4 linked regions of the Mytilus edulis genome follow. The protein of the gene in region 2 purifies or fractionates together with the protein of the main gene of each other region. This does not show direct contact. Links are inferred from orthologs where the notes say so. Each region holds a gene or a part of one and is shown on either strand. Other genes may lie near its edges. The genes, in order: ribonucleases P/MRP protein subunit POP1-like, la-related protein 7-like, zinc finger CCHC-type and RNA-binding motif-containing protein 1-like and putative ATP-dependent RNA helicase DHX57.

Region 1 (8,290 bases), on a different chromosome or scaffold from region 2:
TCTGGTACAACAACACTGATACAAGGTTACCAGTAGAAGCAAGGATTTGTATACTATACAAATCCTTGGTAGAAGGGACCATGTTCTTGCTTTACACATACCTGTTCTGTCTCTGGTACAACACCACCAGATACAAGGTTACCAGTAGAAGGGACCATGTTCTTGCTTTACACATACCTGTTCTGTCTCTGGCACAACACCACAAGATACAAGGTTATCAGTAGAAATGATCATGTTCATACATGTACATACCTGTTCTGTCTCTGGCACAACACCATCAGATACAAGGTTACCAGTAAAAGGGACCATGTTTATACATGTACATACCTGTTCTGTCTCAGACACAACACCACCAGATACAAGGTTACCAGTAGAAGGGATCATATACATACCTGTTCTGTCTCTGGCACAACACCACCGGATACAAGGTTACCAGTAGAAGGATCCATTCCTATTTGCCCAGAGAGGTACATAGTATTTTCAACCAGCACAGCCTGACTTTAAACAATAAAAGATATTTCAAAATAAAATAGTATGCATCAGAACAGTATTATGCACTGAGAAAGTTCTAATTAAAATATATTTTTTTTATACAAATTAATTGTAAGAATTTCACTACAAAGAACAGAAAGTAAAAAGAGTTTTTTTTCTTTGAATAAAGGAATGAATCCATTCCCTTTTCAAAATGAGAACAAGCCCAAAATTATATATTTGTGTTTCATGCCTCTGTGTATAAACTAATTTCTCATGAAAAAAGAGATCATTTCAGCTTCCCAACTTCCCAATTGTGAACATTCCATTCCTATGTATTAACATTCCAGCAGCGCCTGCATACAGAGTATATATCTCCAAATTGATATGATATTCCCTGGCCCAGGGAATATCTTATCAATTGAGAGATATATACTCTGTTTAGTGGCTTGTATTTCCTATCATGATTTCCTTGAAAGAGGATTGCTGCTCACAAGGAAGCTATTAGTTAAACCAAGTGTTCCAAATGGTGAAGTTGAAATCATCCCTTCGTAAATTTTACAGATGCCATCAAGAGTTGGTTGACCATTATGGAATAACCTTTTCACAGATGATATCGAATATGTTCCTTATGTTGTAATGACAATACCCCTCCCTTTTCATGAATGTGACTTCTTACCGATTTAGACTATTTAACAGATTTGTAATAACATAAGCAACACTATGGGTGCCACATGTGGAGCAGGATCTGCTTACCCTACTGGAGTACCTGAGATGACCCCAGTTTTTGGTGGGGTTCGTGTTGCTTAGTCTTCAGTTTGCTTTGTTGTGTCTTCTGTACTATTATTTGTCTGTTTGTCCTTTTATTTTTAGCCATGGCATTGTCATTTTATTTTTAGCCATGGCGTTGTCATTTTATTTTCAATCTATGAGGTTGACTGTCCCTCTGGTATCTTTCTATCCTCTTTTAAACTCTTATATAATTTAAGTCTTGAGAATTTTGATTAAGCACCTATAAAGGGGCTATCAGATTCCTGTTCACTGATATGACTCAAATTCTGCCATTTGATTTTTAACAAATAAAAACTTATATCCAATTTAAAAAAAGTCTATAATAATCAATTTACAATGCATGGGCTCAATAATATATGTATCAGTATTTCTTGTGCATTTTTGTCTACACTCCATCTACTGAACAATTGATATGTTCTAAGAAGACTGCATATGGTCGACAATATATTATTAACGTGATCAGAGGCGGGTTTAGGGCCCCCCCTTTTTGGGAAAAAATTTGGTTGCTTATATAGGAATCACTGAAGCGTGACTGGAGTGGGCCCCCTCTTAGGTCAGTCAGTGGGCCCCCACTTATGAAAATTTCTGGATCCACCACTGGTGATATATATAAAAAGATAGCAATCATGTCCAATCACATTGTTCTAGGTTAGTTTGATTCCATATTATGTCATGTACAAATGTATATCTTATTATCGCTATAACCTAGCCGTCTAAGAACGATTATTGTGGATCAAAGAAACCTAATAGGACTCATTGTAATTCCCTTTTATCATATATTTGCAGCTCTTGATCGAACCAATACATCAAAGTTATCATTAAGTATGGTTTTCATATAGATAAAAGGACAAGAAGGTTCACTTTCGGTCAATAATGGCCATGATTTTCAACTTGAAAGTATTTTTTTAAAGTGGCCATAATTTGGTTCTTAAATGGATCTATCTTTAAAAAAAGCCTGGCTTCCTTGACTTCCATGTTAGAACAAATCTCTTCATAAGAGTATATTCTTGGCTTCAAAATCATCACCTTTTAGATATAATGTCAAAAAGCTATGGTTTTGTGCATTTTTTCAGACTTAAAAAGCTTGAGGAAACCTATGGCCACAACCTAGAATCTATAATATTCTGTAACCAAAATTTGCTAATGATGAGATTGGTTACCTAGACATAGAAAAGTTCTGGATCATGGGTGGTGCCCAAAGTGTATAAATGCAAAAAAATATTAAGATTTATCTAAGATTTGACCAAATCTAACATTGCAACACAATAAATGTATACTGATTATGATGAAAGTATTTCATGTAAATAGTAATATCACAACTACATCTATGTGAAATTTGTAGTATTTTGGCTGGCTTAAAAAAACATCACAAACTTAAGGCTAATTCGAACACATTTAACCCTGATTCTTGAACTTAATCCTTTATATTTAGTAATTCTAATTTCTAGTTTATCTAATAACATAATGAATAAGGGAGATAATGCAAATTAAAAACTTAATACATAAATCTCTTTTAACACAAAATAAAATAGGCAAATTGTCAAACATTTTCATGTCATATATAGTCCAGTCAATCTAGATAGCATAAATTTGACCCTGACCTGAAAGTAATTGCAACAGATGATTTTTAAGTTTAATCTTTAGCATTATACCACAAAAATACACTGAAATAAGTCCCATTTAATCTTACTTGAGGAGGACTAAAAAAATCACCATTTAAAATTTGTCATTTGGAGATTTGCATTGAAAAGGGAGATACATGTAACTATTGCAAAACAGGCAGAAATAATCCAATATCAATAAAAATTGATACAAAATTATAACTTTACCGCTTCTATTCATCAGAATGCATTGATTCTTGATTTTTTAGCGGTCTTTAGAGTATAAAAAACAACTCCAAAGAGGTTTTAATATCTTTTATCAAGCTATAATCTAGATTTCGTAGTTCATATTATGGACTATTAATTAAATTTTTCAACCTGTCAAGATAAAGAATCTCAATTTTAATAAAAATAATTAAGCATGTATTCTTCTTTTTGTGGTTTAAAGTCTCTTTAGAAAAGTAAAATACTGAAAAAATATAATATATAGATATAAACAATACCAAATTTTCACATTATATTTTTAAAATGGTCACAAAGCTTCAAATTTGCGATTTCTTTAATGAAAAATGCTCAAAAAAAATTGAACTACCCATAACACTTCGCTTTTGTACATCTCATGAGCAGAGGATTATATGATTTAGTCAAATACAAACTTATAACCCCATCAATGTATCATACTTTACATAAATTTCAGGAAAAGCAACCAAAAACTGACCAAAAAAGACTCATGTTTGTTGAGTTATCTCCCCTTCCAATGTTAATTTCCATAGAAAATTAAAAATGCTTATTTTTTTCCCCCCTCAAGTTAGATTTAATGGGACTTTTTTTCTGTGTATATTAAGGGCATAATGCTATAGATTAGAACTAAAACATTTTCTGTTGCAAATTAGTTTGAGGTTAAATCTTAATTTGATCAGTTGATATTATACCACGACTCGGTCACTTTTTAAAGACTCTGAGACCACTTACTTTACAGCATCACTAGATGAAATGGACTCCTATGAATCATTGATTACCATGATTACAGACCAAATAATGTAGAAAAAAAAAAATTAAAAAAAAGATTACAGGACTAAAGGGTTTGTATTCAATCATTGGCTTTTAGGGAGCTACCATTTTATTTTTATGGTGGGGGTGGGGGGTTGGCTAGGATGAAAAATTATGTCCTGCATTTTTTTTAGCTTTAATCTCTGTCCTGCCTTTTTATTTTTCACTCTGTTCGAACCTGCCTTTTTTTTTACCTAAATTGTTGTCCTGACTTTTTTTCTTTTGCAAGTGTCTCATCCTGCCATTTTCTTTACTCAAAACTCCTGACCTGCCTATTTTTTTCAAATTTCATCCATTTTGGGGCCCTTTATAGCTTGTTGTTCGGTGTGAGCCAAGGCTCCGTGTTGAAGGCCGTACTTTAACCTATAATGGTTTACTTTTTAAATTGTTATGTGGATGGAGAGTTGTCTCATTGGCACTCACACCACATCTTCCTATATGATATATCTATTAACAAGAATGTGTTTACTTTTAAGTTAAACTTCCACCTGGAATTCAGTAACTTAATAACAAGGATACTCAGACCAACAATGTTATCAGAGTAACTTGTGAAAACAGCAAATTATAATATTTAATAAAAGTATAAAGGTTAATAAGTAAAATTGCTCAGCCTCAGGTGACCAAAGGTGCACATTGAGGTTTTTCAAATATTCAGCAAAGAGAATCACCTGTATGGTCCAATAGCAGCTGGAGCCTTTACTGTCTTTATTATCTTTCTTACAATTCCTGCCATATTTCAATGTGTTTGGTCAGCTCAGTTTAATTGTTTGTCCTTGTCATATGGGAGGTAATCCAGGAATAAAACGGTTCTTATGAAGCGCGATCCTGAGCATTGATCTGTTATTTATTTAAGTTCATGCCACATGTTTACATTTGGTTTTGTAAACTAAGATTTTTTTTATAATAATGGTTTTCATTTTCTGGTCATAGCATATGTTTTAAACGATGACATTATATCTTTGGTGGTGAAATAATATATCATTTATTCCGGAAGTGAATCGTCTGTCGTGTACAATAAAATGTCTGCGCCCATTAGAAACATGTACAAAAAGATGTAAGCGGATTAAAGTTGGTCAAATATAGTGAATTAGATTTGTCAAGCAGAAAACAATACTCTTTACAGGACCATGGTATGATTTAACATGTTTGTTTTATGTATTTTAAGGAAAAATACCTCAAATATAGTAGATAGTTACTGGTATTAGGTCCGTTCGCGCCCAATACAATACAATTCCTCACAAAAGACTTCTCTACAAACTAAAACATTATGGCATTGATGACAACACCTTAAAATGGATAGAAGATTTTCTCACATCTCGGACACAAACAGTGATCATTGATGGTGTTCAGTGAAGACAAAATAAACGTAACATCTGGTGTTCCCCAAGGAACAGTTTTGGGTCCGATCCTTTTCCTTGTATACATAAATGACTTTAACGAATACATCAAACACAGTACCCTCAGATTATTTGCAGATGATAGCATAATTTATAAAACAATACGAAAGAAAGAAGACACACAAAAACTGCAAGAAGATCTCACATCAGCTGCAAAATGGGAGAAGGACTGGCTCATGTCATTCCATCCAGACAAGTGCTCAGTCCTTCAGATAACAACTAAGAAAACCCCATTAAATTTTGACTATACTCTCCACCAACATGTACTTCAAAAAGAAACATCCACAAAATATCTTGGAATAACTATACAAACTGATCTCAAATGGAACAAACATGTAAACAATATCACAGCTGCAGCCACACAAAAGCTGAACTTTATTAAAAGAAATCTAAAAGTCAACTCAAAAACAGTCAAAGAAAAAGCATACATTGCACTAGTAAGACCAAAGCTAGAATACAGCAGCTGCGTCTGGGACTCGCACACCAAATCTCAAACACACCAACTTGAGATGGTCCAGCGCAGAGCAGCAAGGTACACCTGCAACAGATACCATAACACCAGCTCAGTCACTGAAATGCTACAAACCGCATCATTTTCCTCTACAAAATTATACATCATCTTGTTGCCATATATCCGACAGACCTACTTACACAATCTGATACAAGAACACGACAACATTCACATATTTACTCTTTCAGACCCATACAAACCACTAAAGACTCATACAAGTACTCATTCTACCCTAGAACAATCTTGCAATGGAACCTTCTCCCAGTAGCTGCAGTTCAATGTACTACTCTTGAAAGCTTCCAAGAACAGATTCCAATATCTGTTCTCAATAAACATTTAAATAAATTCCACAATGTATATAGTTTTAACCAAAATGTATAGTACAAAAACAGAAGAAAAAGAAGTTATAAATGTTGAAATTTTTATTTTTATTTTTGTATTTTTTCACTGTAAATAAAATTTATATCCACGCACGCGTGGCATAGTAAAATCAGTGCCCGGCACGTTATCATCAGTATGTTGATGGAGTGCTGAATTATAAAGAAGAAGAAGAAGAATACACTTTCGCACCCTTCATGTTCGCACCTCGCGGGGTGCACGTTCGCTCTCTACATGTTCGCGCCCAATTTTAATTCAAATTCCAGTTGAATTAGAATATAGGGGTAAAATGCAGTTTTTGGCTTATAACTCAAAAAACAAAGCATTTAGAGCAAATCTAAATTGTTTATCAGGTCAAGATCTATCTGCCCTGAAATTTTCAGATGAATCTGACAATGCGTTGTTTATAGGTTGTTGCCCCTGAATTGTTTATTTTTATGAATTTTTGCTGTTTAAGAGATAATTGTATTGTATTTGAAGCTTTAAGGACGTCCATCGGTAGTTTTATTGTCGCAAATTTAGTTTACCTGGCGACGCTGAGCGGAGACAGGTAAACTCGTATTTGCGACAGTAAAACTACCAATGGACGCCCGAAAAGCTTCAAATACAATACAGTTATCTCTATTCTAATGCAAAACAAGTTTATAATTAAATTTCAATCATTATTTCAGTGTAAAATCTTCATAAAAGAAAATTCCGTGAAAAAATGTTATCTTTTTTGGTCCCTACACTAGGGGACGTCATAGGTATGCTTCCGGCGTCAAACATAAACACCAGGCTTTTTCTGGCTTTTGTGCCGCTTCAGAATGTAATAAAATTTGTTAAAAAGAAGATGTTTAGGCGCAATAAGTGAGTTTTTATGCAGTTAAGCTGCATTATGCGAGCACCCTAGATTTGTGTTCTACCCAATAAATGCTGAAATACTTGCCATTGTTATTATCTAGCTCGCTACTATGTTATATATAACTAATTGAACACATTTTTAATACTTTTTATTCTGGATTACAAAAAATATGACAAGAAAAACCTTGAATGATCGTCGATTTATCCAAAAGTTTTAAAGTTACACATAGGAAGTAGTGCTTATTAAGAATCCTTGTGTAGTTCATTATGACTTGTGCTTTTAGCTAAGATGTCAAAGAACAATTGTATGAAATATTTAATCGCCGAAAATCTCTTAAGACAAGTAGTTTAGATTTTCCAAATGACAAAAGTCGTAGGAATATTGTTTGTCATCAATACGTAGTACAACTACGTCAGTAGTCTATTATATAATAAGTTCAACTGTTCATGCTGTTGGCGGCAATTTCAAATTAGAAAAAGAAATTTTTCGTAGCTTTTCAATTTGGAGGCAAGACTAGTGTGCAAATTATCGGTGGTCCGAGGTCCGCGACCTTCCACTTTTGCAAGCGGAATTTCGAATAGGATAGTTGGTTTCTAGCTACGCCCGACGTAGTCACCTTCCACTTGAAAGAAAACAAGAAATTACTTTGCAAACCTTTTCACCATGTTCACCAAAGTCTCCAATTAAACGAGCTAAAAACTTATTTTTATCATTATTAGTCATGACAGCGATGTTCATTTTGTTCAACCGCTAGCTTTATGCAGAAAATCTCCGACAAATATTGTATAAATTCGAGTAAAATCCTATCTGATTGACACAAACAACATTGTAAACACATACCAATGGCGGCCGTGAAGACCAAATTTTAATATCGGATCCGATTCCGGAAGCGGATAAGGGTAATTCCGGGTTTGGCGATCATTTACAAAATAAATCCAAGCAGGTGAAACAACACATCTATGCATGGTAAATTAATGAATATAAACACTAGAATTGTAAACCAAAAGATATATGTAAAAGAAAGAAAAATCAGAAAAATATTTTATTCAGAAACTCAAAATTACTTTTTGACAAATTTTTAATTTAAAAATCCAATACAAAGTGACAGCTGGGAACAGTATATCTAACAATATACATGTTCATGGTCACAGTCTAAATTTTCTTTATAAATGATAAATGATAATGCATGTGAGATGCTTTTAAAGTGTTAACATATTACTGCAATTTCGAAGGGTTATTTGTTTTT
Region 2 (7,828 bases):
CATCACAGGGATACAGGTAATAATAAAAACTAATATGATTGATGTATACTGTGTGATGCTTGTTTCCAGATCCTACATTTTGAAATATTTGTAAATTTCATGAATAGATAGGTTTAAACTACAAAACGCAACATTCATGACATTTTTAATTAATTTTTTTTTTACCATTACAATGATTTTGTTGGTACACAATATTTAGTTTAATGGAAGACTACTTATATACTAAATGTCACATTTTTTAAAAGTGTTCAGTTACATTAACTTTATTTTAGTGGATAATTAATCATCAATTGAGGAAGATTCTCAAAACAGAATTTTACAGAAAAATGAAAAAAATCGTATCTCATGTGTTCCCACAGCCTATGTTTACTTTGGAAGTTACAAATTGACCTACAAATTAAATCATTGCATGTTGATGTTTGAATCATCTACAGCAAACATTATTATGTTTTAATAGGTGCACAAACTCTGATTTAAATAACCAGTGAAGGATATCCCTGCTGCTACATAGTGTGGCATTCCAACAATGACGTCTCTAATAAACATAATGTAGGTTGGATATATTTAGAATATCTCGTCATACTGATTTTTCTGGATTGTAAAAGAAACGTAAATAGTGTAAAGGAGAGCTCAAGATACAATAATTTCACGAGAAACAGAAGGGAAATGTGTAAAAAAAAAGTGTTTAAAGTCCATCTATTCATTTGTGTGTCTCCTTCTCATCAATCTCCGTCTGGTCAACCACATAGGGGATTGAAGGCTTGAAGCTGCCTTTCCCCAAAAACTGCAGTTTACCACTATGGCCTATTTTTAGCCATGGCAGCCATATAAGTACAAGAAAATAAAAAACACAATTGATTCTAGATACCCTTAGGGTCATTCAGCTTTACTTTAGTTGGCATTGGTTCTATAGTTTCAAAGGAGAAGATTTTTTAAAGTTAGAAAACATAATCAACAAATTGTGTAAAATTGTTCTTAAAGGGCAATAACTCCTTGACAATTTTGGTTAAAGAACTTATTTGTAGATCTCACTTTGATGAACATTTTTGCTGTTCACAGTTTTTCTTTATCATTTCTTTATATCATTAATAATATTCAAGTAATAACCATCATTGCAAATAAATTGCTTCGACAAGTGCAGCTGGATACAACCGCAGAGGTCCTGAAAAGATGGGACATAATGGACACAATCTTCGCATTTGATAAAGGTCTGAATTTGGCTTGAAATTAAATATTTGACACACAATAGTTTTCTGACACAGAATATAAACTGTAGTCAAAGAACTTGAATTGGTTAAGTGATTTGAATTAATATTATTTTTTTTGCTTTTGTGCAATACACTAAAATTAAATTAAAACAAAATTGACAGCTTATTACCTCAAGACAATACAACATTTCTGTATACATAATTTAAAAGCAGTGTAAGGGAGGTAATTCAACCATGTAGTGTTTGAATTACCTCCCTTTTTTGGGGGGTTTGTACTTCAGTAATAGTCCATTAAGAAGGACACCCTTGTTTCACCCCTTTTTGCAACTAATTCCTCAACGGTTTAAGCCATAACATATATGCATCCCAATGCCAATTCTTACAATCCCTTTGTGGTATTGAATCTTGTGGTATAATTTCAGAGAGATCCATACACCATTCCACAAGTTATTGTCTGGAAACTAGAAAAATGCTAATTTGGGCCCCCTTTTGACCCTTATTTCTAAACTGTTGGGACTTTAACCCCAAAAATCAATCCCAACCTTTCTTTTGTGGTCATAAACCTTGTGTTAAAATTTTATATATTTTTTTATTTACTTATACTAAAGTTATTGTACGGAAACCAAATGTTTTCGGATGACAAAAACATGATACCAATGTACAACTGCAAAAATGTTTGCTTAAGAAAAAATTCATGGAAGCCATTGATTGTTGGAAATTTACACATGGCCTGGGCCATGATATTCGAAATTTATTCCTGAGCGAGGGATAAAATTGACGGATATCGCGGCCAAGTGAAATTCCAACAATCTATGGCTTCCATGAATTATTTCAATTCTAATAGGACAAATACGGTCATTAAAAAACTGAAGCGAGGGTGGATATGCAGTGTGTCGGGCTGTTCTTTTTTACTTCCTGTTAGATAAAGCTCAAACATTCTAATAAATCTGTAGCTATCATGGATTATTACATGAATAACCGCAGAGACCGCTTAAAAATTCTTTTATTTCTCAAACCCAACATTTGCCATTTTTAATTTACATGTTTTTCTCATAAGCTTCCGTCAAATCCTAAGTTGACATTTCGTCACCATGATGACTTGCTGAAATCTGTAAATAATGCGAATAATGCAATAGAATAGAAAATAAAACACAACCTACCTCAATCAAAGTGCTGGATAGCACCTGTGGAAAGATTGGAAGAGTAGTTTGAATAATTTCATATTAAGGTATGGTGGGGACAAAAGAACATTAATAAAACAGTATTGCTGAAAATTGCATAAACAGCAGGGTTCAAGCAGGAATAAAAATCAGCTGTAACTTAAAACGACATTTTCAACGAATTTCAGCAGAGCAAAATTTTCCGTTCCATCCTTCAAGGGGACATCTAAAAAGATTGTGTTAATCCTTAATTAATCATTTATCTTTCAGACATAATTTACAGAATCACTTTATGTAATGTAGATCAAAAGTAATAGGCAATAAATAAATCTATCATCCTTATATATCAAACATCTAATATATACATTTGTGTATTCAATTATGAGGTCAAATATTTGTGTATTGAGATGTTTATTGGGTCTGTACAATTATGTAACACTGATGTTGATAAGTAATGTGGTCAATTTGATTGACATTTTAGGAGGTGGGGCATTGTAATTTAAGGTCCACCTTGTCCATGTTTGGTGATAATGACAGTTGTCAATCATACTAGTATTGTATCAATACTCAATTACCTAATCAAAATGCTTAAAAAAAGCCTGCACATCAACACACCTTCATTACATACATTCTTGAATAAACTGCTCCAAAAAATATACCCATTTTTCACAATTTATATGTGTATTATGTGCACATACATGAGAACTATAGGGAACTATATTTCAGTGTGAATACATGCAGTAATAGTAGTAAACCTGTCATGTTGTTAGGGAGGCCAGTGCCTAAGGAAAGATTAAGAACAAGTTCCAATCTTTCCAAAAATCAGTTTTAATACAATATCATACAAATTTCAATGGTTCACGCAACAGAAAACTTTCAACGCTAGTGGTTTCATTTGTATGACGTCTTGTTTTGAAATTATTAAATACGCCAAAAGCATTAATAGACTTTCGCGGAATTTATTTTTATTTTGTTGATTTCTCAGAGCTCTTGTTCATTACTTCTTTTTATTATGTACCCGAAAAGGAATAACAATTATTTTGTCTTTTTTTTATTGCAATTTTTAAAAAAATAAAATCGGCAAAGAGTCTGCAAATAGGTTCCAATACATGTAGATTTACATGGGAAGTATATTGTAACTGCCATTATTCTGTATATCTCTGAGTCTGCGCTAAGTATAGATATATCAAGAATCTTATCACTTGTTGTTTACAAAGCGAAAAAAGCATGTCATATTTCATGTATTAGAATGTCATATAAAAACTGCAAAATTTGCTTAAAATTACCAATTTAGTAGCAGCAACCTAACAATGGGTTATTAGATTCATCTGAAAATTTCTTGACTGATATATCATGTATATAGAACCTAACTCACCTAATTTACACCTTAACCTGTTGTCAGATTTGCTCTAAATGCTTTGGTTTTTATGATATAAGCAAAACACTGCATTTTACCCCTATGTTCTATTTCAAGCCATGGCGGTGATGTTTTTTGACGATACAGAAAAATAAAACACAAACTATATTATTGGATCTTTCAGCTAAAATTTGGTTTGAATGTTCAGTTATTTCAAAGAAGATGTTTGAAATAGTTTACCCAGGTTTGACGAGGAGGACGATGAACAATGCTTAAGGATTTATGAGCTAAAAATAACAAATCAAGGACCAATTTATATGGAGCTTTGTTTGTGTGCTTCTGGAAATATTTATATGCATTGAGTGAAATTTGTGAACCATGTAAGTGTTAAACAAACCTCTTTCATGGACAACCTGGGGATTCTTTTGAATAAGCTGTTGTACTAATTGTCCGGCATTTGTACTGATTGCCTGCATAAGAAGCTGGTGTTCCGAGGTCCCAGTTGGTTTTGCAGAAACTCCTTCATTATACGTAACTTTGGGATAATCATCATTTTTTGACGTCATTCTAATTTACGTGCGTTTCATATGACCTAGCTTCCGTATCATGCCATATATAATTTATAATTGTGTGGTAGGGGAAATCGTGTAGTTGATGTAGTTACAGGAATTCTATTAGGCCGGCTCGATTCTGACCAAAACAGCATATCGGTCGTTTGACCGGCGATAAACAAAATCAAGGTAAACCGGATAGAAAATTTAAAGGTTTTGATAAGAATACTAAAGTATATGATGCATAAAAGAAGCATATGCTAATATAAAAATCTTTGTAAAACTGAATGTGAGCTACATTTGTACTTTAGAAAATTCCGCTAAATCTGCAAAGGAGAATCGAGTTCCCCAGAGACCTCTGTAAGGAGATATAAAATAGATGTTGATTGGTTAAAGTTGAAAATTAAACCAATAAAATAGTGGGTAACATTTCCGTGTTTTGTATAGTTAGCTCCCTTTATTTTATAGAAGGAAATTTAAAAGAAGGTAGATTCTCTTAATTAAGTGGAATTAGTTTTCTAAGTAAACTTTGCCACTCATGACTGCAGTGCATGTGCCCTATAGCAATGTAGATGAGTTATGAGAGGACTGTATTTTTGAAGCTTTTGTCGTTTTGAGACGTTTCGGCCTCATTACCAGTTCGTCCACAATTTGTTTCGGGACCACTACCTTACCTTTAAGTTCAGACTTGGGGTCAATTACATTGGAATGTAATTAATTAAATTACTCATTACATTGCAAAAATATGAATTACACTAATTACACATTACACAGTTTTTAAAATGTAATTAATTAAATTACACATTACATTTCATCATAAATTGTTTTAAACAATATATATCATGTATATATAGAATGTGTGAAATATACATCTTTATCCCCTTCAAATGAGAACCACACAAGTTCTGTGTGTTGAACAGGTGCTTTGGGTGGCAGTGCTCATTATTTATAAAGGTGCTGTGGCTGTGGATCCCATCACCACAATTTATCCATGAATTTTGGATCAATTCATCCATCCACAATTGGTTTTTTTCCTTGATGGAAGGGAGTAAAATATAATGTTTCATCAAACAAATGGGAAGAAACAAATGAAAAAACATATTCATTTATAAAAATTTGTATCAATATTGATTAATGTTATAGAGTATTCGTAAAATATTATGAAAAGATGAAGTTTTTTTCAAATATAAAACGCAAACAAGGCAACTTCAAATAAAAACTTGCTGAGTTTATGTGGATCCAACTTTCAGTTGATGAGTATATTGTAATACAATACAAGCTGCCTTTAGCCTTTTAAAATACAGAATGAGATATTGCAGCATGAATGGAATTCCAAATGACTTTTTCAATCAAGACATCATTCACAGCAGATCTAAAATACACACTTGATGACAAAATGATTTTTTTTAAGTAATACGATGTACAAAAATGATGTAGTTCCTTTTTCGAAACAATAAAATTAATGGAAACGAGGAATGTGTCAAAGAGACAACTACCCTACCCGACCAAAAAGAAGAAACAACCCAAGGCCAAAAACATGACAAATGGGTCTACATGTACAAGTTCAACACAGCAAAAAAATCCAACACCTGGAGCAGGGCTTAGCCATGTTTGCTGGCCCCTAAACATGCATTACCACATCTTCTTATACACATATTTATTAAGATCATAGATGAAAAAAATGGGTTCACAGTTAAATATACCAAAAAAGACAAAATGTATGAATTAAGATGTGAGGTGAAAATTGTATTTCATAGTAAATTATAATATTTTTTGCAGTGTTATGGCAGGAACAGAAACATTAGATAAAGAGACTACAAAGGACAAGAAGCCAAGGAAAAGAATGAAAGCTTTATATGGTCGTATCAAGCAACAGGTTTGTTGAATAAGTCTCAAGGTCATAATGGTCCAATGAGTTAATGTAGTTATTATATATAATTATATCTACCAAAGTTTTGATAGACATTAAAAGTTAACATTTATAAAAGTAATTGAAAATACTTGACAAAATAAATTACTTCATGATGTTAGGACAAACTCATGAACACTCATACAGGGTTAAACTAATGTTATAAGTACTTTGTCCTTCCCTATTATCTTTATCAGTGGTAGACCAATAATTAAGTTAATGTGGCTTGATTGTTGTTCTTGCAGTCCTGTTTATTTGTTTAGGATAATGAGGAACGGTGGGGTATATGGCAATGAGGCAGCAATGGAACACACAAAAAATACAAAAGACTTCTGATGGGCAACTAATGTCTTTCATGTGTCTTTTGATTATGTTATTTTCAAGTTCTATACATTTTCTGATGAGTTGTATTATATTACATTTATATATATATATATTTACTTGCTATTTGATAACTGTACTGTTGTATATTATATATGTTGGATAAAAAAAAAATGTTAAGCACATGTCCCAGATCAGCCACAGACAAGGTTTCTGACTTGGTACTTGGACATGAACATGTGTTGGACTTTTTTGGGATACGATTGCTTTTAAGCAATCTGTAGACTTATACCATTGGCTCAGGGCCATGCCCTCATGTCAACTGTTTTATTCTAAACATTAAGGAACATCTCAGATTCTTATGATTGTCTTGCTTTAAAAGGTAAAAACAAACAAAGGGATTGAACTTAAACAACTTTCCTATAATGTTCTTTTCATAATCTTCATGTTTGATATTTCTCTTGACTTATATGCATGTTTTTAACAACACGGAAAATAAGAATTAAGCAGTATTTATATTTAGTGTTTTTATAAATTTAGAAACACGTCAGAGGGAATTCACCAGTTTTGATAAAAATGCGAGAGTTCTCTGAATGCCGATAAATCTATTTCTGTCACATAAGAACTGAAGTGGAGTTTTTCTTATATGTCACCGTTATGAAACTGATATTTGATATTGTACTTCCATAAAGAAATAGAGAACCATCATTAAATAGGTGAGAGTAAAGCTCTAAATCAAAGAGCAGATTGCTCTGAGGGATATGATTGCCATTGTTTTCATTGACACATGTATACATGTAGCTGGATGATATTATTTTCAAAACTAGTTCAACTGCACATGTAAAATGTAATTTACGTAATCTGAATAGTTACAAAATAGACAATCCCGGATACAAGTGTATGAAAAATGTACTTAGGCCTAATGTGTTTTGTTTTTGTACCATCAATTCCAAGTTTACTTTCCACAGTAGTCACTGAGACTCAGAGTGAGAGAAGGTATTTCACTTCGTATCTTATCACCTATTTTCCTACTTTAATTCTAGGAGGAACCCTTATTCCTAACTCTTTAAATATTTAATTTCCTTGGATCAGTGGATTGGCTATTTTGTACCTATTCAGATTACGTAAATTACATTTTATAATGGCAATTGTATCCCTCAGAGCAATCTGCTCTTTGATTTAGATCTTTACTCTCACCTATTTAATGCCCCACCAAAGATACATCCGTTCATCTGTTCGTTCATTTGTTCATCCATTTGTCCCACTTCAGGTTAAAGTTTTTGGAAGTGGGCATCTGAACTATCGACACATTCTTGTTTTAT
Region 3 (7,735 bases), on a different chromosome or scaffold from region 2:
GTATAAGTAATCTTTGCAGGTGTAAATAGCAAATAGCAAATTTGTGTTATAACCTCAAATCGGTATCAAATATGTACACCATCAAATTGTTAGTGATATGTGGAATAAATTGCTAACTACAGAACATTAAAGAATGATATGATAACTTGTACTATGGATTCATTTATTTTTGTTGGAAACCATTTTTCATGGATTTCGTGGTAAACACAAATCAACGAATTCCAATATCCAACGAATGACATATTTACTTTAGGAGTGTAAAAAGACTTTGGCAGAACCACGAAATCAAATATTAACAAGTTTTACTCATTCCTCGAAAATTAATGTCCATGAAAATAAATGAATTCAACGTATTATGTTTTCGAATTAAAACCAGAATTAAAATGGCCATTAAAGTCATATGATTTTTCAGGTTTGTCCTTTGATCGTTCACAACAAAATTTACACAAGATAATGATAAACTGCAATACTATTACTGCACATAGAACACCAAACATTATCCAAAAATTTCTTTCTGTATAGAGATCTGAAAAAAATATATACCAAAGATAACTTTCATAACTGTTCCAATAATGCATGTACCAAATCAGGAATATGACAGTTGTTAATCATTCGTTTGATGTGTTTGAGCTTTGATTTTGCCATTTGATTAGGGACTTTTCGTTTTGAATTTTCCTGAGAGTTCAGTATTTTTGTGATTTTACTTTTTCCACTAGATTATTTACCTTCTGGTTGATAACTTATTTTTTAGTTTTTATGGACCTCCTCTTTTTGAATTTTTCTTTGAATGCGTTTTTTTTTTTTGTTATACTTTTTAGCTTTTGGGCCAAGTGAGCTTTTCTCATCACTTGGCGTACGTCGTCCGTCGTCTGTCGTCCGTCGTCGTTAACTTTTACAAACATCTTCTCCTCTGAAACTTACTTAGCCAAATTGTATCAAACTTGGCCACAATCATCATTGGGGTATCTAGTTTTCAAAAATGTGTCCGGTGACCCGGCCAGCCAACCAAGATTGCCGTCATTGCTAAAAATAGAACAATGGGGTAAAATGTAGATTTTGGCTTATATCTCTGAAACCAAAGCATTTAGAGCAAATCTGACGGGGTAAAATTGGTTATCAGGTCAAGATCTATCTGCTCTAAAAATTTTAGATTAATCGGACTACCCATTGTTTGGTAGCTGCCCATGAATGTGTAATTTTAAGGAAATTTTGCCGTTTTTGGTTATTATTTTGAATATTTTTATATTATAGAAAGAGATAAACTGTAAACAGCAATAATGTTCAGCAAAGTAAGATCTACAAATAAGTCAACAAAACCAAAATGATCTGTTAACCCCTTAAGGAGTTATTGCCCTTGTAGGCAATTTTTAATAATTTTTCGTAAATCTTTGTAATATTTTACAAAAAATCTTCTCCTCTGAAACAAACTTGTCCTCAATCATCATTAGGGTATCTAGTTTAAAAAAAAAAGTGTCCTATTACCCCACCCGCGAACCAAGATGGCCTACATGGCTAAAAATAGTACATAGGGTAAAATGTAGTTTTTGGCTCATATCTCTGAAACCATAGCATTTAGAGCAAATCTGACTTGTGATTAAATTGTTTATTAGGTGAAGATCTATCTGCCCTTAAATTTTCAGACCATTCAGGCAACCCGTTGTTATGTTGCTACCCCTGAATTGGTAATTTAAGAAAATTTTGCAGCTTTTGGTTATTATCTTTAACATTATTATAGATAGAGATAAACTGTAAACAGCAATAATGTACAGCAACACATAAAAATAAGTCAACATAACCAAAATGGTCAATTGTCCTCTTAAGGAGTTTTTGCCCTTTATAGTCAATTTTCAACAATTTTTATAAATTTTGAAATTTTTACAAAATATTTTCCACTGAAACTACTGGGCCAAGTTCATTATAGATACAGATAATTGTAAGCAGCAATAATGTTCAGTAAAGTAAGATCAACAAACACATCACTATCACCAAAACAGTTTTATCATAGTGCCCTTTGTTTAATATGCACATATACCAAGGTGAGCGACACAGGCTCTTTAGGGTTTTTATGGGAAACGATACCGTTTTATTCCTGATGTCGTTGAAATTTTTTAAAACACTATGAACACATGCATTAGTTACCTTTGGAAGTATAATAAGAAGGTACATTTCCGTAAAAGTAAAATTTGAAGTCTATCATTTATATATATTCATTTAAGCAACATTATGTTGTCTTAAAATATTAAACAAGTTCTTAAGTTCTTCCGCCTATTATTACCACTGAAAGAGGATGAATTAAAAAAAATTACCATTCATCAATTTCTTGACATGACTGTATCAACAAATTAAGTTTATTATCAGTAGTACAGTAGTGTTTGTCACGTGTATTGCAAAGTCAACCAACTGAAATTCAATGAACTTTTTTTTAACAATAAAATTTAAATTACTAACAAATATTTGCTTGTAAATATGATCTGGCTCGAATGTTATCAATCTATGTTGGTGTCCTGCAAAATCATTCCACTTTTATGGTAATTTTGAACCCACTTCATGTCTCACATGACTGCTAAGCTAAGTGTTTCTTTACCTACACTAAGGGAAAGTCTACTAGCTCTCGTCTAAATGCATTAAAAAGTTTGTATATAGGTCAAATTGAATGCTTCCAATAGCTTTACACTTGCTAAAATTAGGAAATTTATTTTTAAAAATTACAAGTTATATGTAAATTCACTACTTAAATCTATTTTCATATCCATCATTTAAATTCATGATTTGATCGTTCAAATGATGTTGTTATGAAATGGACAACATGACTTACATGTCTTACGTCGATTAATAGTAATTTTATTGTCAGTTCCCTAATGATATAACTCATCTACAAGACGTTTTGTAATTTTGTAACTCCTTTTTAGATTCTTTTCATTGTTTACGTTGACCAGAACTAGCCAGAATCCCCCCTCCAGGAATCCCAAGGAACAAAATTCGTCATGGCTTCTTAACATTTGCACTTCATCGTTTAGAAGGCTATATAAAAAGCTCAGTTGACGTTTGTGGAGCTCTGATGCTATGGGTAGTGCACCAAAAAGTAGATAGACGGCACAGAGGGCTGTTCTTTGATACAGTGATGGGAATTTTCTTAGGCAGTTTATGTGGAACTTTCTAAGGCGGTCAATATCTATTTGTTTTAATGGTAGTATTTCAAGTCCAAAAAGAAGTTTAGGCATTACATAGCTCCGATATAATTGGTAAGAGGTGATGGGAATTAAACCATTTTATCCGTGATGTCCGCTGTTGAATAAAGAGAAGAGTGTTCTGCGAGCTAGGGACAGTCTATCCTCTACATTTACGTTATTCTCTTTAATTTCAGCTCTCATTATACCTAAATGTTTAGTTTGGTTTGTTGGTGTTATACAAGTGGTGCCGATATTCTATTGTAGGTTTTTTCTTTAAAATACCGTTTTGCCTTTATTGATGATGACAGCATTTGTTTTTGTTGGATGAAGTGTGACCCTGTCCTGTTTGGAATTTCGTAGAACAGTGTTTAGCATAATTTGTGATTCTTCCACATCATCAGACAGAAGTGCTATATCATCTGCACATGTTGCATGGTGAGCCAGTCAGTGGCAGAACTTTTCATAAGTTGGAGGGGTGCTGACTGACCTCAAAAGGGGGGGGGTGCCAGTCATGCTTCAGTTATTCCCTATATAATCAACCAAATTTTTCCAGCCACTCCAGCCCCCACCCCTTGGATCCGTCTATGCCAGTGTAAATATTGCCAATTTTCAGTCCTACACGGCTAAAACATTACTAGTTCATTCAATACGTTGTTAATGTTAACCTTATATAGGTTAGTGGAAAGGACTCCACCTTGTCGCACGGCCTTGTTGTATTGGATATTTGTCACTTATTTCACCTTTCCATTTTATTTTTAAGGACATGTCTGTGTAAAGATCTTTGACTATGGGCCAAAGTTTAGTATGTATGCCACATTCATAAAGTTTATCTAGAAGAATGATGTGAGAAACCACGTCAAATACGTCAAATGCAGTTTGGCTGTCTACCGCTATCATATTTGATAAAGGTTTTAAAGTTACATGTTTGGATTCTGATTTACATTCTACAAGAAAGGCAGCTATAAGCATAGAGAGACCTTCTGTAAAACCAAATTGCATGTCTGCTTGGGATAAAGTTTTTGGTAAGACGTGGTAACAATACATATTTAATCAGTTTGGTGATTGTTGGTGTCACTGTGATACCTCTGTAATTTCTTCTAATGTTGGATCTTTCAGCTTTTTTAGTACTGGGTTAGTAATTCCAGTCTTAAAGAAAAGCGGTAAGTTTGTTTTGTACAGTAGAATAGCTATTGTGATTTGATTAAAGATGGAGGTTAACATTGGTGAAAGAATACTTCTAGCAGTTTTGAAATGTTCTGCGGAGATGCCAATTCAATTTAGCTTGTTTTTTCGGATAAGAAATATCACAATTGGGTCCTTTTATTATGGAGGTTGTTGAGGTATTGGATTATTCGGTATTAACACGGAAAAATAACAAGTACCACCCGGTGTTGGTTTTATGCTTGTTTTAGTTTCACTACTTCCGGTATTTTCTTCCTATTATTTTTATGGAAATTTTTATATTCCCCTGTTTATTGCGAAGTTTGAAAGGTGATAGCCACAATGAGCGGGGGTTTGGTGCCCAGTAAAAGTACTATATATGTTGGCAACCTTCCCTTTTCACTGACAAATAACGATATTCACAAAATATTTGAAAAATATGGAAAGGTTGCAAAGTGAGTTTAGAAACTTTAGTTTTGATTATGTCAGAACTAAAAATCAGGTTCAAGGCATGCGCTAGTCCAAATAATTGGCTATTTTATATATTTGCTTCGATGTCGTAACTAGATCAAAACTAGGTATGCATTCATGATCATTCATTGACAGGAGTGTGTTTTTATAACTGTTTACCAGGTTGGGTACAAGTCGAGGAAAATTTGGGTACAGATGTCTATTTTCGGTTTTCAGTGAACACCCCGGTTTTCTGGTTTGAAAAACAACAGTTTACAGGGACTTCCTTTTCTAATCCAATTGATGGCATGACATTTACAAAAGTGCAGGTTTTAACTGTAAGAACTTTTAAAAAAAGTATTTCAGGCCACACCAATTTGATTCCTTGTTCGACGGACCCACCCGCACCTATTTTTTTCAAAACAGAATTTTTTTATTTTTTTTATATTCCTGCTTCCCGCATCCGGAAATGTAATCATGTCCATCTCCCGCACCGTTTTTTTTGTAAATATTATAAAAAGATATCAACATTTATTTTTAAAATAACAGTCTAACCTGTATATAACGATTTTAAACATAAAAGCACCCCACCACACTTTGTAAATATCTGTGAGAATATTTGTTTCAGCATAAAACCTATTTATCAAAAGTGCGAGTGCTCTGATATAAATTTATAACAGCGAAAACCTGTAAAGAACAAAATATTGGTTACTTTCCCCTTACTTATATTCCCTATCAAAAAATGTTTGTTGTTAGAATAAAGTACAAAGAACTTCTGAAGGATTTGCCTTAACTGCAGTTATATGGTTATATTGTATGCTGGCGAAACAAAACTATCCATAGCCGCTGCATGTTTATTCGCCTGTCCTGATTGATTGAGGGGCCTGTCGTTCAGCAGTTATCGTTTGTTGATGTTGTTCATTGGTATTTTCCCGTTTGGATATACATGATATATAAATTAGATCGTTGGTTTTCCTGTTCGAATTGTGTACGCTAATAATTTTGGGATCCTTTATAGCCTGCTGTTTGGTCTGTATCAAAGCCCTGTGTAAAAGGCCGTACTTCGACCTGTGTTTGTTTATATTATCAGGTTGAGAACAACCCTCCCTCAGACAAGGGGTCATTTTACTGATGTAGAAAAGAAAATAGAAATACCAAGAATTTGTATAGTTCTTCTATACAAAACCTTTGAAAACTTAGAATTTTTTACTCAAAAAGAGAAGAGTTGCATCATATTTTAAACAACTTTTTCTAAAAGAGGGGTCCACTTATTTTGAATAATATTAAACTGTTAAAGTAAATGTGTTAGCATCAGGTTAAAGTCCAGGAATATTACAAAATTCTTGGACAAGTTTTGACCATTTAATACCAGATAGATATATAGTTCTTTGAGAAAATATGAGCCCTTTTGTACAAACAAATCTATTATAACTTATATTGATCCCTCATAAAACATGTAAAAGGGATACAATGTATTTATAACATAAAGGGGTGGTCCCCAAACTGATCATGACTTGGATGTAGAATTGTCTCATTGTCAGTCACACATACATAGACCAGATTTAATTATTTCTTGGTGAACAGGGAAAAAATACTTCAGAAATTAAAGAAATGTCAAAGTACAAGTGATAAATCATTAGCTTTAATATTGTCAAAACCTAATATTTTATGTTTACAAAAAAAAATTATAATCGCTCGCCTTTACTTTTCAAGCTTCGCCTCAAAAATTTGCAAATTAAATATTTTTTTATTAAAATTTTCAAATCGCTCGCTCGCCCCAAATTTTGGAGTTCAAAAATCCGTAGAACAAGAAATTAAATTGATGTAGCCTCAGGAACAACAAACAGGTTGGGCTCAAGTTAGGAAAAGCGGTGTATTCCCAGTTTTTAGTGAACACCCCAGTTTTCTGGTGTTACCAACCCCAGTATGCCCAGCTGAAATTGTAACAATGTTTATATCTTGAACTTATTTGGGAACAGTATGTTTAATGGGAAGACAAGTTAATCTGATATGTATTCAGTATTAAATTGATAAAATCTCTTGACTTCAAGGTTGGCAAAAAAGCGGTCAATACTAGTATTGACCATGCCAGTGGTAAATACCGGTATTTACCGGGAAATACTGGCAAATATTGGGAAATACCGGCAAAGCAAATACTGGTCGATTGAAATTTTGAGTGGTCATTACTATAAAAACCACTATCTACTTGGTCAATTATAATTACAATTAATAATTAATTTATATAAAAAGGTGTTCAAACCATTTTTAATGCTTTCATTTCTAATTCTATTGTTAATTCAAACAGGGATCTACATTGATTAATGTGTACATAATATTATAGTAAAAGATAAAAACTTTTTGTCCCTGCTTCAAATTTTCATTTCCAGCATGAAGAAGGGTTTTTTTTTATCTCACAGTTAGATAGCTATAAACAGGAAATAATTTATTGTTTAAGGGAGTCTTCATATATCAATTTTATTACTTTCAACCCATGTACTGTCAACTTTTATTGGAGGCTGTTGTTTTAGTAATTAAATTTTCACACCTAGCAATGCCAGGTGATATATAAAAAGACCCATGTAACTTCATTTACCTGTAGTTTTATTTACCTTTAATTTTGATTACCTGTAAAATCATACATTTTGAATAAAAATATATTGATTTAAACATGTTGAAATAAAATATAAATTTGTATATATATATCTTAAGTATGCAATATCATAATTCATAAAAACTAAATTTTAAATCAGTAGTAAGAATAAGTGTTATAAATGTCATAAAACATATCAAATTCATTAACTTTATAAGCTGACACATTATATTTGACTTTTTATCAAGATTTTACTTCATTTAATAGTAGAAACAACCATGAAAATTTCAATTGACCAGTATTTGCCAGTATTGACCACTTGGGGAGTATTGTCTGGGGCGGTAAATACCGGTAAATACCACTG
Region 4 (8,183 bases), on a different chromosome or scaffold from region 2:
AATTTCTTTAAAATTACCAATTCAGGGGCAGTAACCCAACAACAGGTTGTCTGATTCATCTGAAAATTTCAGGGCAGATAGATCTTGACCTGATAAACAATATTACCCAACGTCAGATTTGCTCTAAATGCTTTGGTTTTTGAGTTATAAGCCAAAAAACTGCATTTGACCCCTATGTTCTATTTTTAGCAATGGCGACCATGTTTGTTGATAGATCAAAACTTCGGATACAGTTTACAAACTAAATACCCTAAGGAACATTCAGTTAAAGTTTGGAAGTATTTGGCCCAGTAGTTTCAGAGGAGAAGATTTTTGTAAAAGATTACTAAGATTTACGAAAAATGGTTAAAAATTGACTATAAAGGGCAATAACTCCTAAAGGGGTCAACTGACCATTTCTGTCATGTTGACTTATTTGTAAATCTTACTTTGCTGAACATTATTGCTGTTTAAGGTTTATCTCTATCTATAATAATATTCAAGATAATAACCAAAAACAGCAAAATTTCCTTAAAATTACCAATTCAGGGGCAGCAACCCAACAACAGGTTGTCTGATTCATCTGAAAATTTCAGGGCAGATAGATCTTGACCTGATAAACAATATTACCCAGTCAGATTTGCTCTAAATGCTTTGGTTTTTAAGTTATAAGCCAAAAACTGCATTTGACCCCTATGTTCTATTTTTAGCAATGGCGACCATGTTTGTTGATAGATCATAACTTCGGATACAATTTACAAACTAGATACCCTAAGGAACATTCAATTAAAGTTTGGAAGTATTTGGCCCAATAGTTTCAGAGGAGAAGATTTTTGTAAAAGATTACTAAGATTTACGAAAAATGGTTAAAAATTGACTATAAAGGGTAATAACTCCTAAAGGGGTCAACTGACCATTTCAGTCATGTTGACTTATTTGTAAATCTTACTTTGCTGAACATTATTCCAGTTTACAGTTTATCTCTATCTATAATAATATTCAAGATAATAACCAAAAACAGCAAAATTTCCTTAAAATTACCAATTCAGGGGCAGCAACCCAACAACGGATTGTCTGATTCATCTGAAAATTTCAGGGCAGATAGATCTTGACCTGATAAACAATATTACCCCATGTCAGATTTTCTCTAAATGCTTTGGTTTTAGAGTTATAAGCCAAAAACTGCATTTGACCCCTATGTTCTATTTTTACCAATGGCGACCATGTTTGTTGATAGATCAAAACTTCGGATACAATTTATAAATTAGATACCCTAAGGAACATTCAGTTAAAGTTTGAAAGTATTTGGCCCAGTAGTTTCAGAGGAGAAGATTCTTGAAATAGTTTACGACGACGACAGACGACGACAGACGACGACAGACGACGGACGACGACGGACGCCAAGTGATGGCATAAGCTCACTTGTCCCTTCGGGACAGGTGAGCTAAAAAGGTCAATAAAAAAAAGTAAACAAAACCACTTTGGCCTAACTGGTATTTGTGACTGAAATGTCTTGAAAGCACTTTATATGTTGTTAATACTTTCAAATATTAACTATGAATTAAACAAGAGCCTGTATTGCTCACCTTTATTTTTTGGCATTTAACTTTCTTTAAGAGTTCAAGTTTCCAATTACATCATAGTTTGTTTTTTGGGTTCAATTCAGCATATCAAAGAACCGTAAGAATTAAATTTTTGATGAGATCAAACAAAGTTTAATTTTAATTTTTGAGATCTTACTTGGCTGAAAATTTTTGTTGTTTACAGTTTATCTTTATCATTAATAAATTCAAGATGATAACCAAAAACTGCAAAATTTCCTAAAAATAACCAAATTAAGTGCCAGCAACCCAACAATGGGTTGTTAGTTTCATCTGAAAATTTCAGGGCTGATAGAACTTGACCTAATGAACACTTTAATCCCATGTCAGATTGCTCTAAATGCTTTGGTTTTTAAGATATAAGCCAAAAACTGCATTTTATTCCAACATTCTATTTTTAGCCATGGCGGCCATGTTTTTTTAAGAAACAGGAAATAAAACACAAACTTTATTCTACATACCCTAAGGATTATTCAACTTAAATTTGGTTGGAATTGGTTCAGTAGTTTAAGAGGAGAAGATTTTGAAGTTAGAAAACATGATAAACAAATTGTGTCATATAAACTTATTTGTAGATCTTACTTTGCTAAACATATTTGCTGTTTACAGTTTATCTTTACCACTAATACTATTCAAGATAATAACCAATTTGGGAAATACTGCAAAATTTCCTTAAAATAACCAATTTAGTGGCAGCAACCAAACAATGGGTTATTAGATTCATCTGAAAATTTCAGGGCTGATAGAACTTAACCTTAAGAACATTTCAACCCTACGTCACTCACGGTCAGATTTGCTCTTACCCCTATGTTCTATTTTAAGCCATGGCTGCCATGTTTTTTGACGAAACAGAAAATAAAAAACACAAACTTTGTTCTAGATACGCTATGAACCATTCAGCTAAAGTTTGGTTGGAATTGGTTCAGTCGTTTCAGAGGAGAAGATGTTTAAAATAGTTTACACCAGACAGACGACAACGGACGCCAAGATGGCTAAAGCTCACCGTTCCGAAGCTAAAAATTATTTGATTTTTTTTAACTAGAGACATTATTTACCCAGAAATTTTGCTACTTCCATAATTTCGGGTTCCTACTGCACCAGACGTGTGGCCACTACCACCAGACGAGTAGCCTCTACCACCAGACGTGTGGCCACTACCACCAGAAGAGTAGCCTCTTCCACCAGACGAGTGGCCTCTTCCACCAGACGTGGGTTCTTTTCGTTTACTGTCGGGTTCACTTTGACGTTTATCGTGACGATGTTCATCTCGACTGGGCTTTCCTCTTCCTCGTCCACGGTTAAATTTACCTCCACCTCTATTAGGTTTTCCCTTTTTTCTCTTGGAAAATGAAAATTCATCCATGAGCACGAAATAAAACCGTACGAACCCTAGAGCTCGAACCCTACTCTTTTTTTTTGCTCGATGTCAAACGTCAGCTTCATTTTTTAAATATAAATTGCCTTGACAAAACGTTGCTGCGATAAAGATTAAAAGAATATACTTATCGAGTCTCTATTACAAAAGAACTAATTGAAAATGAAAGTAGGAATAAACTTTCAGTTAACCCTTTAAGTGACTAGGTGAAGAGGTCAATGGTTTGTTTACTTCAGTTACCAAACCGATTAAATGTAAATATCAAATCAAATCATTTTTTTTGTTTTATGAACTATTGGATGTCTGTTAGTCTTTTTCCTTTTTGGACATGGTGTTGTCAAATTATTTTCTACTTCAGATTTTGAACAGTTGAATATCCCACTGGTATCTTTGGCTACACTTTTAGTGCTAAAATGACTTAGCATTCAATCTTTTGTTCATCATTATCGAAACCTGTGATAATTGTGTAAATGCCACTCAGTTATGGCCTACATTTTTTTGCAATAAACAGATTTCTATATTTTACTAGATTTAACATAAAATTTATCTAGAAATACAATTTTATCCCTCTGTAGGAAGATAGTCACTCTATACAGGTATTACATATAGAGGATTTGGTCTCAACATGTTTAAATGTACTGAGGCCATCATATCATAGATTTTTTTTGAAAGAAATATGCCAGTCGACTGGTATGTGTTCTTCATATACCAGATAAAAAAGATAAGATAGTTTTTTTTTTATTTATACACCACAAGCTTTAAAGAGCTTTTGACCTAATATGAAAACATAGACAACATTAGTCAAAATAATTTTGACTTTTAAAGGCTATATCAAGCCTTATCTGAAAGAAAAGACAGAACTTCCCAGGGTGGGGGTGGTTTAATTGTTTATTTTTCTGAAAAAATAAAATTTTCAAGACAAAACAACATTGAAATAGGAGGTATTGAAACAATGTGGTTTGAGGTAAAACCAGATTATAAAAAATCATTTTTACTATGTTTTGTGTACAGACCTCCAAAGTCAACAATAGATTGGATTGATGATTTTGAAAAAGAACTAGGAATGGCAGTGACCATTAATTCAGATATTATATTATTGGGGGATTTTAATATGAATTTTAAAGCACCAAGCAAACCTCCTCAAAAATGGTTGAATGTTTTAGAAGCATTTAATCTTCAACAATTGATTGTAGATGCTACAAGGGTCACAAAGGATACCAGTACATTGATTGATCATATCTATGTCAGTAATCTAGATAAGGTACAGGAATCACATGTCTGTAAATTAGCAATTAGTGACCATTATCCTATTTGTTTAACAAGGAAAGAAGTTAATAAAGACAAAAAGAATTCACACAGTACAATAACATACAGGAATTTCAAAAAATTTGATCAAAATGAATTTCTTTTAGACCTACAAAGTACACCTTTTTATAAAATTGAATTTGAAGACAACCCTTCTGTTTGTCTCCAATTATTTTATGATATGTTGAACAAAGTTTTAGATAAACATGCTCCTGTTGTTGAAAAGAGAGTTAAAAAGGATAGGCAACCTGATTGGTATAATAGTGAAATTATATATGCTAGGAACATGAGGGATAAATACAATGCACTTGGATTGTGGAGTGAATATAGATTTTGGAGAAATAAAACTAAACAAATAATAGAGAATTCAAAAAAGAACTATTATAAAAACATGGTAAAAGACTCTAAGGACTCAAAATCTTTATGGAAATGCCTTCATAGCTTGAATCCAAAGTTTAAAAAATCCCCACATGAGTTAGCTACAGATGAGAACAATACAACAACAAATGATAAAAAATCTATAGCAGATACTTTTAATACCTTTTTTACTTCCTGTGCTGAAGAACTAAGAGAGCAAAGGGACATTACATCTATTGACAAGGCAGATTTCAATAATCTAAGCAAATTTATTAAAAATCAATTAAAACAACAAAAACATGAGAAATTTACCATACCACCAATAAAGATAAATGAGCTATTTGATGAGTTAATTAAACTTGATGTAAATAAATCATCAGGAACTGATAATATTGGACCGCAAATCCTTAAAATAAGTGCTCCATGTATTGCCTCTCCTCTCACATATATATTCAACAGAATGATAGATACTGGTATCTACCCCTCATTACTGAAAAATGCTAAGGTAACACCAGTTTACAAAGATGGTGATAAGGTTTTAGCAACAAATTACAGGCCAATTTCTGTTCTTCCATCTTTATCAAAAGTATTAGAAAGGCATGTCTCAAATAACATGTATAAGTACTTGTCTAAATTTAAACTTTTACATCCTACACAATCAGGTTTTAGGCCACATCATTCTTGTCAAACTGCACTTATTGATATCATTGACAAATGGCTGAAAGAAATGAATGATGGTAATATTAACTTAGCAATACTGTTAGACTTTAAAAAGGCATTTGATCTTGTAGATCATGACATTCTTTGCTTAAAGCTTGCTATTTATGGATTCAGTGAGTCTGCAGTAGGTTTTTTCAGGTCATACCTAAGTAATAGAACACAGCAAGTAAACATTTGCAATGTTAATTCTGATAAAAAAGATGTGAAATTTGGTGTCCCCCAAGGATCTATACTAGGTCCTCTATTATTTGTCTTATTTATAAATGACCTTCCCCTGTGCATTAAAAATTGTAAAACAGACTTGTATGCTGATGATACTACTCTTCATAAATCAGGGAAAAGTATAGAAAATTTACATGATGATGTTCAAGAAGATTTATGCAAAGTTGAAGAATGGTGCAAAATGAATAATATGTTCATCAATACCAAAAAAACTAAATGTTTGGTTACTGGAACAAGTCAGAAGTTATCAACCCAATCTTTTCAACCAAATTTAGTAATAAATTCAGAAACACTACAAAATTCATCATGTGAGAAATTATTAGGTGTTAAAATTGACAGCACACTTAGCTGGAAAAACCAAATTGATCAAATTTGTGCTAGCATTTCATCAAGAATATACCTTCTTTCTAAATTAAAGAAATTTTTAGATATTAATGCCAGGAAAGCATATTATAATGGGTATATTCTGCCTCTCATCGATTACTGCTGTATTATTTGGGGAGAATGTAAAATGAAGGGATAGTAAGAATATTAAAACTTCAAAAAAGAGCAGCAAGATTAATTCTTGATGCAGACCCATTATCCCCATCAGCCCCCTTATTTAAAAAACTTGGTTGGATGACAGTAGAAAACAGAATCAAATACCATAAATATTTATTGCTATTTAAATGTATGCGGAAAGAAGCACCACAGTACCTAATTCAAAAGTTTCATCTTATATCTGTAAATAATCCTTATGCTTTAAGGGGTGTTACTCAAGGTAATTTGATAGTTCCAAAGCCAAAAACTGAACTGTTTAAAAAATCTTTTGCTTATTCTGGATCAGTTTTATGGAACGGACTACCTTATGAAATGCGTAAAGTGCAAAACACTTATTCTTTTAAACAAATTATAAAACAATACTTGAGACAGTCCCAATATTCAGTCTGAAATGATTGCAACTACATTGTATTACTCTTAGAATGTATGATTTTAATGATTTGTATATACTAGATCTATTTACTACATGCGATATTTAACTGTTTTATATCTTTTAATCATGGTACATGTACACTGAACTATTATGTCTATACAATTGTGTTTATATGTTGTATGATTGCTTTTTTCTTTTATTATTACCATTTTGTTTTTACTTGTATTGCATACATGTATATGAGGGCCTCAGGGAAGATTAGTGATTGTAACTAACTGTGTTTACCCTCTTTAAATAAAGAATTTATTATTATTATTATTATTATTATTATTATATCTTAACTTTTGCTTTGAAGCACAAAGGCGTCACTGCAAAAAAATAGTCTCTCAAAACACCAGATTTATTTGGCCTTGAAGCTGAAACTTATTTTAATGATTGTGACAGTCACAAATACTTTTATACATTTGAATCTTGGGATTGTGAGGGAGGTTGATATACAGTGATTAGTAATAAGCATTAAAAATAAGTATAAATTTGTACAAATAGCAATTAACATTTAAAAAATCTCCATCTATGTTAGACCCTTTACAAGTATAAAAGTATTGATGAATTTGTAACTTTTAGTCAGATACATGTACATGATTTTGGTTCAGATTAGCATTTAATTTTTCAAAATTAAAGATGACATCAACAATTCAAAATTAAATATTATGTTTTGAATGATTAGAATAGTTAATGTGCATTTTAGTAATGACATATGCATTATGTTAATTTTTAATTCATTATAGGATCTATAGATGACTTATTACAGCATTGTTTACGTGTTTACTTCATCTATAGTTGAAAAATGAAAACTTCATAATGAATGGTTCAGTTTTAGAAAAGGGATAGAACAGTTCTATCAGGTTAGTATATATTTATTCATTTTTCTCTACTTTTGTTAAATTTTGTTATTTGCTTCAGCTTCATACAAGTTTAAAACATAACAAGATCCTGATCTCCAGATGTGCATGTGGGTAGGTTGTTCCAGTTTTTGTAGTTATGCCCCTTTCACTTTAGAAATTTGGCATTTCACAACAACTTCTTTGTTATAGCAACTCTTCCATTTAGTGTTATTTCATGATGTATTGAAGACAAAAAGAGTATTCAACTACATGTATGTCAACTTCTTATTATATTTTCAGAATGTATGGGTTTGTGAATCGTGATATTAAAAGCAGTGTCTACAAAGCTGTCTCTAAGTTTCTGGTTGAGAATTGTGATGAGGATTGGAGGAAAATGCCAGCTAATTCAGCATCATTTAATCTGATGTTTGGGGAAAGAAATAAATTGCCATTTGGTAGATTAGGTTGGTATAATCTCTAGACCTTCTGAAATTGACATTCATTACACAATGAAACGTAACATTCATGATGGCACGAGGTCCCACAATAAAGTGCACAGAAAAAATTAAAGAAACCCTTGATTGAAATCGTGTTTTCATGATCCTATCTAAAAAATGTAATTATAAGTATTGAATGCTTCTTTTTGTAATTTCATAGGGTTGTAAAAGCGTTGACTGGCACACATTTTTAGAATGAAGCTTTGGTCAACCCTTTTACACCCTAATGAATTAACAAAAATAATAATCAATTCTTTTTAAAAGTATTCAATTTGTAAAAATTGTTGATATTGCATTTCATGTATACCCAATTGATTTCTGATGGAAGGG

Evidence for each region.
Region 1: the proteins of la-related protein 7-like (region 2) and ribonucleases P/MRP protein subunit POP1-like purify together in Homo sapiens (affinity purification with mass spectrometry; 3 studies listed by BioGRID and IntAct, with this or other methods). This does not show direct contact. The link is inferred for Mytilus edulis from reciprocal best matches to the Homo sapiens genes LARP7 and POP1.
Region 3: the proteins of la-related protein 7-like (region 2) and zinc finger CCHC-type and RNA-binding motif-containing protein 1-like purify together in Homo sapiens (affinity purification with mass spectrometry; 3 studies listed by BioGRID and IntAct, counting the BioPlex papers as one, with this or other methods). This does not show direct contact. The link is inferred for Mytilus edulis from reciprocal best matches to the Homo sapiens genes LARP7 and ZCRB1.
Region 4: the proteins of la-related protein 7-like (region 2) and putative ATP-dependent RNA helicase DHX57 purify together in Homo sapiens (affinity purification with mass spectrometry; 3 studies listed by BioGRID and IntAct, with this or other methods). This does not show direct contact. The link is inferred for Mytilus edulis from reciprocal best matches to the Homo sapiens genes LARP7 and DHX57.

The regions. Positions count from the first base shown.
Region 1 is NC_092344.1:124,482,624-124,490,913, reverse strand, and holds the start of ribonucleases P/MRP protein subunit POP1-like, read left to right. Parts: upstream 1-4,898; 5' UTR 4,899-5,041; coding exon 5,042-5,044; intron 5,045-8,290. Other genes in the region: 2-iminobutanoate/2-iminopropanoate deaminase-like, read right to left, coding at 393-498, 4,583-4,647. UniProt on the Homo sapiens protein: Component of ribonuclease P, a ribonucleoprotein complex that generates mature tRNA molecules by cleaving their 5'-ends. Also a component of the MRP ribonuclease complex, which cleaves pre-rRNA sequences.
Region 2 is NC_092352.1:62,370,673-62,378,500, forward strand, and holds the start of la-related protein 7-like, read left to right. Parts: upstream 1-4,687; 5' UTR 4,688-4,762; intron 4,763-6,055; 5' UTR 6,056-6,059; coding exon 6,060-6,152; intron 6,153-7,828. Other genes in the region: uncharacterized protein, read right to left, coding at 4,123-4,291. UniProt on the Homo sapiens protein: RNA-binding protein that specifically binds distinct small nuclear RNA (snRNAs) and regulates their processing and function.
Region 3 is NC_092344.1:95,701,376-95,709,110, forward strand, and holds the start of zinc finger CCHC-type and RNA-binding motif-containing protein 1-like, read left to right. Parts: upstream 1-4,575; 5' UTR 4,576-4,673; coding exon 4,674-4,786; intron 4,787-7,735.
Region 4 is NC_092346.1:56,277,489-56,285,671, reverse strand, and holds the start of putative ATP-dependent RNA helicase DHX57, read right to left. Parts: upstream 3,007-8,183; 5' UTR 2,944-3,006; coding exon 2,636-2,943; intron 1-2,635. Other genes in the region: tubulin--tyrosine ligase-like, read left to right, coding at 7,658-7,820. UniProt on the Homo sapiens protein: Probable ATP-binding RNA helicase.